Linked DNA regions of Lonchura striata. The protein of the gene in region 2 purifies or fractionates together with the protein of the main gene of each other region. This does not show direct contact. Links are inferred from orthologs where the notes say so. Each region holds a gene or a part of one and is shown on either strand. Other genes may lie near its edges.

Region 1 (3,913 bases), on a different chromosome or scaffold from region 2:
ATAGAGACAAAAATAAAATTGTAATAAAGTCTAATGAGTAGAACCAGCTGCTTGATTAGCAGAGAAATTTCCGTTTGCTGCTGCTAAAGCAGATTCAAAAACTCCCAAACCAAAACTAAAACTCAAAAGTCCAACCCTTAATAAGGCAAGACTGAATTTACATTTCTGATTTCAGCAATAGCCTCATAAAAACAGGTTTCCTTAAAGTATAGGGATAACCAAAAGACAGGAGAACACAGATCTCACTCAAAGTAGTATAGCACAGACAAAGAGTGCTCATATAAGAATTGTATTATTTCTCACACTCCAACTGAACAGTCATGATATCACCTTCTAAATAAAATTTAAATTGTTTAGAAGAAAACATTTTGGAAGTATGGAACTGCTTTTGTGCAGTTTTAGATTGCAAACATATTAGGAGACTTAAGTGTACAGCAGAAATCTTACACATCATGTAACGCTATATGACCCCACAAATCTTGAGTGATGCTTCCTTTAATTTTGGAGGTAGCCAGAGGCCTGAGTCTCAGTCCAAAGATGAGATTATATGAAAACAGGTACATTGCACCTACACCAAAAAGCTGACATTTACCAACTCCAAGCACATTCATTTCAAATATGATCTACAAACAGAACCACATGTTAACCCTGCACCAAATTCAGCCTAGAGCTGATTAAATAAAAACAAAACAGGAATGAATAAATGAAAGATTACCTCGTCTCCCTCAAGAATCAGTAAAGAAACACTTGATTCACAAACAACAGCAAGAAACTGCTCGCAAGCAATACAAAGAACAAGAGGGAGCATCTAATATTTGCAAGGAAAAATTGCCAAGGTAACTGGATTGCTCATACTAGGGTTAAGTTGTACCTGACAAGCATATAGATAACTTACATATACAGCTAAAAGTTTAACTTGTAAACGTTTCAAAAGACGTGACAATATTAGGGGAGCATTAGACATGGTAGAATATAGCTTTGAAGCATAATTTCTCATAGTGAATGCTAATTTGAAGTATTTTACATCCTTTTCTCTATTTTGCTAAATTAAAATAATAACCTGGATTTTTACAACTATGTGATTTCTAACTTTTTCACCATCATATTTTTACTCCATATTCATATGCAGTTTTTTCTTTAAGGAGGTTAGGCATAAGTGGAAAACAATCTCTTGAACAGAAAAATGGGCCTTTGGCATTATGACTATCCACAATTGCCTTCTTTTTCTTCCCCAAAGGCCGCACTTTTCTCTGCTTGTTCAGCACCACCCTTCCCCACAATACCTCCTTTTGTCTGGACTCTTCAGTTACTTAAGATTAGTTCCAGGTCTAAAGAAACACAGTCTTTGACACGAGGAGAGGCAGTAAATGCTGCTACTCACCACTCAACCAGAACACCTTTCAGAACATTCACCATCTTCTCAGCTCTTATGAATGCTGAAGAGTCGGCAAGAGCAACCCCTGTTTTGGATCACACTGTGAAAAAAAGAGTTCACTCTTTAGAATTCTTAGAATTTTAATAAAGGATAAAAGAAAGACAAATTTCCAGAGCATGGAGATAGCCTAAAACCTCTGTTCTCTCTATAGTTACATTGCTGGGGTTACCTGTGAATTCAACAGTTTATACATTATTCAAACATGCTTTTGAGATTTTGACGTTTCTCTTGTTTGGTTTTAACCTCTGACTTGTCTGCAGGACATTCTGTAGATCAGATCCATATATTTTATTTCTTCCCGTAGCTCTATCTTGTTGTTTCACACTTCCTGATAGCAAAGAATCAATAAATCCTTCCTGAATGCTTATGCTCTGTTTTCTGTCACTGTTATCACTTGGAGAGGCCAGTCCGCAGATGTAAGAAATAAAATAATTGTTTTACGCGATTCTGTGAGTCAGCTACATTGAAGCATTTTAGTCTATTTTAACAGTTTGCTAAAAGTTATGATATAATATATTTATCACGCTATTCACATTCATATGAACTATACAGTGCACACATAAGCTGACAGGTCATATTATAGAAAAGCAGTTAAAAGTAAATATAAATTGTACCGTATCAAAATACTTGCGATGCAAAAAGCGAAATAAATGCGAAAGTCAGTATTACATTATCATCTACAACAGCACTGGCGATCACGGGAAATGTGGAAGCACAACACGCCCCACACACCCCCAACACGCAAATCCAAACAAATAACGCCTCGGTTTTACGCAAAGACTCTTTACGACAATTCTACTCCCCGGCGGAGTTGCTGGCCCGTCCTGGCCTTCACCTCCTCCTTGCTCAGAGGGGTTCCCAGGAGCTCCGGTGCGGTCCCTCACCTCCGCCGCGTACGGACCGGTCCCGCTCCCTCACCCGCTCCCTCACCTCCGCCCTCGTCCCGCGCCGCCTCCCCGCCGGCGGAAGTGCCCCGCCCGCGCACGCGCAGGCCGGCCCCGGCAGCCGCCGCGGATTGGCGGGGCGGGCGGCGGCGCGCTGACGTCACGCGGCGCGCGGGGCCGCGCGGGGAGCGCGGCGCAGGCGGAAGGTGGGAGCGGCGGCCCGGGCCGGGGGCGCGGGAAGGCGCTGGGCGGGCGGGATGGGGCTCGGGGCGCGCTGTTCCTCCCCGTTGGAAAGAGGCACGGAGCCACCCCAGCCTGCCTCCTTGCTCGTCTACGTGTTGCATTGTTTAAAGTTGTGTTTGCGGTAGTGTTTTTATTTTATATATATTTTTTTTTAATACGCCCCAGATGCGCAGTCGCGCGGCGGGCGGGTGGGGACCGCACCCCGGTGCGGGACGGGGCTCGGAGCTGCCTGGGCCAGCTGTGGAACGGTGCGAAATGGGTCCTTCTGCATTATACTTGCATGTGGCTAAGCACGAGAAGCCCAGCGTGAGGCGGCAGTGCGCGCTCCAGCCCCAGAGCAGCCGGCTGGAGCTGGCGGCGGGCCCGGGGCGGCGATTCTGCCCCTCCTCCGCTCTGCTGACACCTCACCTGGGCTCCCCAGCATCACAAGGACGTGGGGCTGCTAGGCAAGTCCAGAGAAGGGCCACGAGGTTGGTAACAGGGCTGGAGCACTTCCCCTGTGACAGCAGAGCGAGGAAGTTGTGGCAGGTCAGCCTAGAGAAGAGGAGGTTGCGTGGAGACCCCACGGCCACATTCCAGTGTCTGAGGGTCCTGCAGGGAAGTCAGAGAGGCACACTTAATCGGGAGCTGTAGTGTAGGACAAGGAATAATGGGTGCAAGCGAAAAGGGGAGACATTTAGATTAGATATTTTAAAAGAAATTCTTAACTGTGCAGGTCGTGAGACACTGGAACAGATTTCTCAGGAAGGTTGTGGATGCCCCAGCCTTGGAAGTGTTCAAGGCCAGGCTGGAAAAGGCTGTGAAAAACAAGGTCTGGTGGGAGGTTCCCCTGCCCATGGCAGGGATGTAGGGATTAGGTGATCTTTAAGGTCCATGCCAGACCCTTAACATTTGATGATTTGATGCTTGCCCTTGGACCTGAACAGGAGCTCCTGGCAACGGAGGAGCCTGCTGTGTTTGCAGGTGCATGTTCTAAATTTTAGTAGTTGTGGCACCTGCTGTCACTGAACCACATGTTTATTTCAGATTGTGGTTAGAGAGTAAATGTGAGTACTGTGATTCTATGAACCAAGGAACTGTCATGAGACAGGGAGTTTGGAGGTGGGAGATTTGTCTCTAGAGGACTGATGATCAAAATCTTAAAAGTGTTTCACAATTGAAGTGAATGGATAAACGAGGTTGAAATGACGGAAGTCAAAAAGCAGTCTGCCGTAATTTTGGCAATGCTGGGGTAATGCTGATGTTTTTCAAAAATCTCCCAAACACAAGCAAGAGAAAAGGGAAAAACAAAACTTTCTGGGAAACAAGAAAAGAGGGAAGACATGTTAAAAAGAGTCCTTTGTTCAGAGAT
Region 2 (3,913 bases):
TTTCCTCCTTCTGGTATCAAGAACTAATACTGATAGAAATAGGCAGATCTATCTGATTGAAATGCGGCTCTGAAGCTGGTGTCAAAAGAAAAACTTTGAGGTTTATGGCCATGGGATGATCTATTCAGCACCTGTTCTACCAACACCTGATGGGCTGCACCTTTCTCAGAGTGGAAAAAGCTGCTGGCACAGCAGCTAGCATGGCTCATTGGCAGAGCTTTAAATGGGCTTTAAGAAGGGAGAAAAGGAAAATACCCAGCTCACCAGTGATAATCAGCAGGATGGTGTGTCAAAACTTGAATAAATGAACACTAATGGGCTACCTCAATCTGCTTCATGAGGTGTTGGCTACAAAGCACAACACCTGGAATGTTTCTCTACCAATACACTCAGCATGAGGAATAAACAAGAGGAGCTCAAAGCTTTGATTGAGTCCCAGAGATTTGGTATCACTGACTTGAATAAAAGCTAGTGGGATGACTCCTGTGACTGGAGTGCCCTGTTGGGCAGCTACAGGCTCTTCAGGAGATGTACACAGGACAAAAGAGAAGGGGGGTGACATCATATCTAATGGAGGGGCTGGAATGTACAAAGCTTACAGCTGGCAATGGTGCAGTTGAGAGCCTCTGGGTAGAAAACAAGGGACAAATAATGTGGATGTCATTGTGGGAGTTTGCTATAGATCTCCCAGTCAGGACAATGATGCCAATGAATTCTTCTTTGAGGCACTAAGGGATGCTTCTAAATGAACTGCCCTTTTTCTTACGGGGGTCTTCAACTTGCCAGAAAGCAACTGGAAGCATCACAAAACAGGTACCGCCTGGGACAGAAAATTTCTGAAAACCTGGACAACTTTGTGGAAAAGGCCATAAGGGAGCTGACTCAAAAAGATGCCTTCTTTGATCTGCTGCTTGTCAACAGAGAACCTCACAACTGAGGTGGAAATTGAGGCCATCTTGGCCATAGCAATCACAAAGCCATTGAGTAAAAAATTCTGTTGACAGTAGGAAAGTGCCAGCAAAACTTCAACCCTGGACATGAGGAAAGCAGATGTCAGGCTGCTCAGGGAATTAGTAAGTAAAGTCCCCTGGGAAAACATTTTTGCAGGTGCTGGGGTCCATCAGTGCCGGCTACTTTTTAAGCATCACCTCCTAAGGGCACAAGAGCAGGCATTTCCTAAATGTCACAAGTCAAGCAGATGAGGCAGAAGGACAACCTGGCTGAACAGGGATGTCCTCTTGAACATAACATAAAGAAGACAGGTGTATGCCTAATGGAAGCAGAGTCAGGTGACATGGAAAGAATACAGAGATGCTGCCTGCCATTTCTTATTAGAAGGGAATCAATATGAGATGCCAACCTCAATGGACAAAGCTGCAGGGAACAAGGCTTTGCTAATTCAGTTATTCAGGAAACATTTGTCTAAAAATGACAGGACGTGCGGTAACAGCATAAAACCGGTTCAGGGGAGGTTTAGACTGGATATTAGGTAATTATTCTTCATCCAGAGGGGCTGGGCACTGGAACAGGCTTCCCAGGGAAGTGGCCATGGCACCAAGGGGTGTTTGGACAATTGCCTCAGGCACATGGGGTGATTCTTACATTGTCCTGCACAGGGATGAGAGCTAGACTTGATGTTGATGGGTCCCTTCCAACTCAGCATATTCTATAAATTTTAAGGAACTTAATAAAGGGTGACATTCTGGACTGAAGGAATTTGGGCGCAGCAGCAGGAAGGATTTAAAATAAAAGGAAAAAAAAAGCAACTATCAAGGTACAGTAAAGTTTGCAGTTTGGAAACGTGTGTGTATTGCATAAACCTAGCAAATAACCAGAAATTCAAGTCACAGACTTGAATTCAAGTCAAGTGCAACCCTTCACAAATTCGGAAACACAGCAAAGCCATTCCCTCTTCTGGGGTGGGTGAGCATTACAGACAGGTTAAGTAGAGCATTTAAACACACTTCTCTAGAAATAAAAATGTGTATTATGCCATTTCCCATCAAGTTGGTTTAAAAAAAAAAAAAAAAAAGGAGTTGTTAGGTAGGTCAGGAGCAACCAGACGCTTTGGGACACGCTGAGAAGCCATTCTGACACTTACCTTCTTGATAGCAACGATTCGGTCGTTCGTCTTGTCCTTGGCTTTAAAAACAGTGGCGAACTAGGGACAGAGAGAGACGCCGCCGTGAGAAGGGCCTGGCGGACCGAACGAGAAGAGGCCCCCGCGCCCTCCCGGGGCGGGCACCGCCCGGCGCCCCTCACGGCCCGGCCCGTCGCTGACACAGGCCGGGCCCAGCTGGGCTGTCGCAGCCCCGGTGCCGCGGGCAGCCCCGGTGCCGCGGGCAGCCCCGGTGCCGCGGGCAGCCCCGGTGCCGCGGGCAGCCCGGGTGGCGCGGGCAGCCCCGGTGCCGCGGGCAGCCCCGGTGCCGCGGGCAGCCCGGGTGGCGCGGGCAGCCCCGGTGGCGCGGGCAGCCCCGCGGTCGCTCACCTGCCCTTCCCCGAGGAAGTCGAGCTTCTCGTAGCGCCTGGCGGGGGCCCGCGCATCCATCGCGGCGGGAGCAGGCGGCGGCACCGGCTCGGCTCTTTAGCCCAGCCCCGCCCCGCCCGGCGCGCGCAGCGGCGCATGCGCCGAGCCCCGCACACCGGCCCCGGGCCGAGTCGGCCCCGGGGTTCCTTCATTACGTACAATTACCTACAATATAGTATTTAAAACTACCATAATAGCCCTCAGAGAGATTTCTCGTAAGAGAGAAGTTGTCACTTGAAAATTAATTTCCCTACATGCCCAAGCTTTGCTGTTTTTTAATAAATTAGTCTGTAACACTAAAAAACCCGTGTAACTAAGAATAGTTGTCATCTCTGAGAGCACGTCAGTGTCTCTTTCCTGCTTGTAAAATCATTCTCAGTGACGTATCCAGGTGAATCAGTCTTACCTCAATCCCTGGAAAAGTGGTCGTATGCCTCATGCTGGAGGCCATCTATATCTATGTGGATGACAAGATGTTGATCAAGAATATCATTTCACATGGCTTCATTAAAGGCAAATCTTATTTGACCAACCTGATTGCCTTCTACAAGAATCAACTACGTGGATGGGTAAGGGAAGAGCAGTGGATATTGTCTACTTCATGTTAGTAGGGATTTCAACACTGTCTTTTAACAATGTCCTCACAGACAAACTCAGGGATGTGGGCTGGATGATCGGACAGTGGGGTGGATCAAGAACTGGCTGAACAACAGATCCCAGAGGGTTACAATCAGTGGCAGGGTCTAGCTGGAGGCCTCCCCCTAGTCGTGTCCCTCTAGGGTTTAACTTATTCATCCCTGGTTTAGAGGGAGGGGCAGATGCCTCCTCAGCAAATTCAGAGGACACAAAGCTGGGCAGAGTGGCTGATAACCTGGAGTACTGCACCCTTCAGAAGACCTTGACAGGCTGGAGAGATGGACAAAGAACCATTTGAAAATTCAGCAAAAGCAAATGCAGGGTCCTGCAACTGGGGAGGAACAACCCCAGGCACCAGCACAGCCTGGGGCCGACTTGCTGGGGAGCAGTGATGTGGAGAAGGACCTGGGGGTCCTGGTGGACAACAAGCTGTCCGTGGGCCAGCAGTGTGTCCTGGTGGCCAAGAAGGCCAGTGCTATCCTGGGGAGCATTGCCAGCAGGTGGAGGGAGGTGATCCTGCCCCTCTTCTCAGCCCTGGTGAGGCCTCACTTGGAGTGCTGTGTCCAGTTCTGGGCTCCTCAGGACAACAGAGACATGGAGCACCTGGAGCAGGTCCAGCAAAGGGCAACAAATTTTATTAAGGATCTGGAGTATCCCTCTTAAGAGGAAGGGCAGGGAGAGCTGGGGCTGTTCAGCTTCGAGGAAACAGAACTGAGAGGGGACCTCCTTCATCAACATCTATCAGTACTT

What was found.
Region 1: the proteins of CDK7 (region 2) and GTF2H5 purify together in Homo sapiens (affinity purification with mass spectrometry; 7 studies listed by BioGRID and IntAct, with this or other methods). This does not show direct contact. The link is inferred for Lonchura striata from reciprocal best matches to the Homo sapiens genes CDK7 and GTF2H5.

The regions. Positions count from the first base shown.
Region 1 is NC_134605.1:53,868,027-53,871,939, forward strand, and holds the start of GTF2H5 (general transcription factor IIH subunit 5), read right to left. Parts: upstream 2,439-3,913; 5' UTR 2,366-2,438; exon of another isoform or gene 2,271-2,365; intron 1,476-2,270; 5' UTR 1,417-1,475; coding exon 1,382-1,416; intron 1-1,381. UniProt on the Homo sapiens protein: Component of the general transcription and DNA repair factor IIH (TFIIH) core complex, which is involved in general and transcription-coupled nucleotide excision repair (NER) of damaged DNA and, when complexed to CAK, in RNA transcription by RNA polymerase II.
Region 2 is NC_134642.1:11,847,353-11,851,265, reverse strand, and holds the start of CDK7 (cyclin-dependent kinase 7), read right to left. Parts: upstream 2,607-3,913; 5' UTR 2,549-2,606; coding exon 2,489-2,548; intron 2,162-2,488; coding exon 2,102-2,161; intron 1-2,101. UniProt on the Homo sapiens protein: Serine/threonine kinase involved in cell cycle control and in RNA polymerase II-mediated RNA transcription. Cyclin-dependent kinases (CDKs) are activated by the binding to a cyclin and mediate the progression through the cell cycle.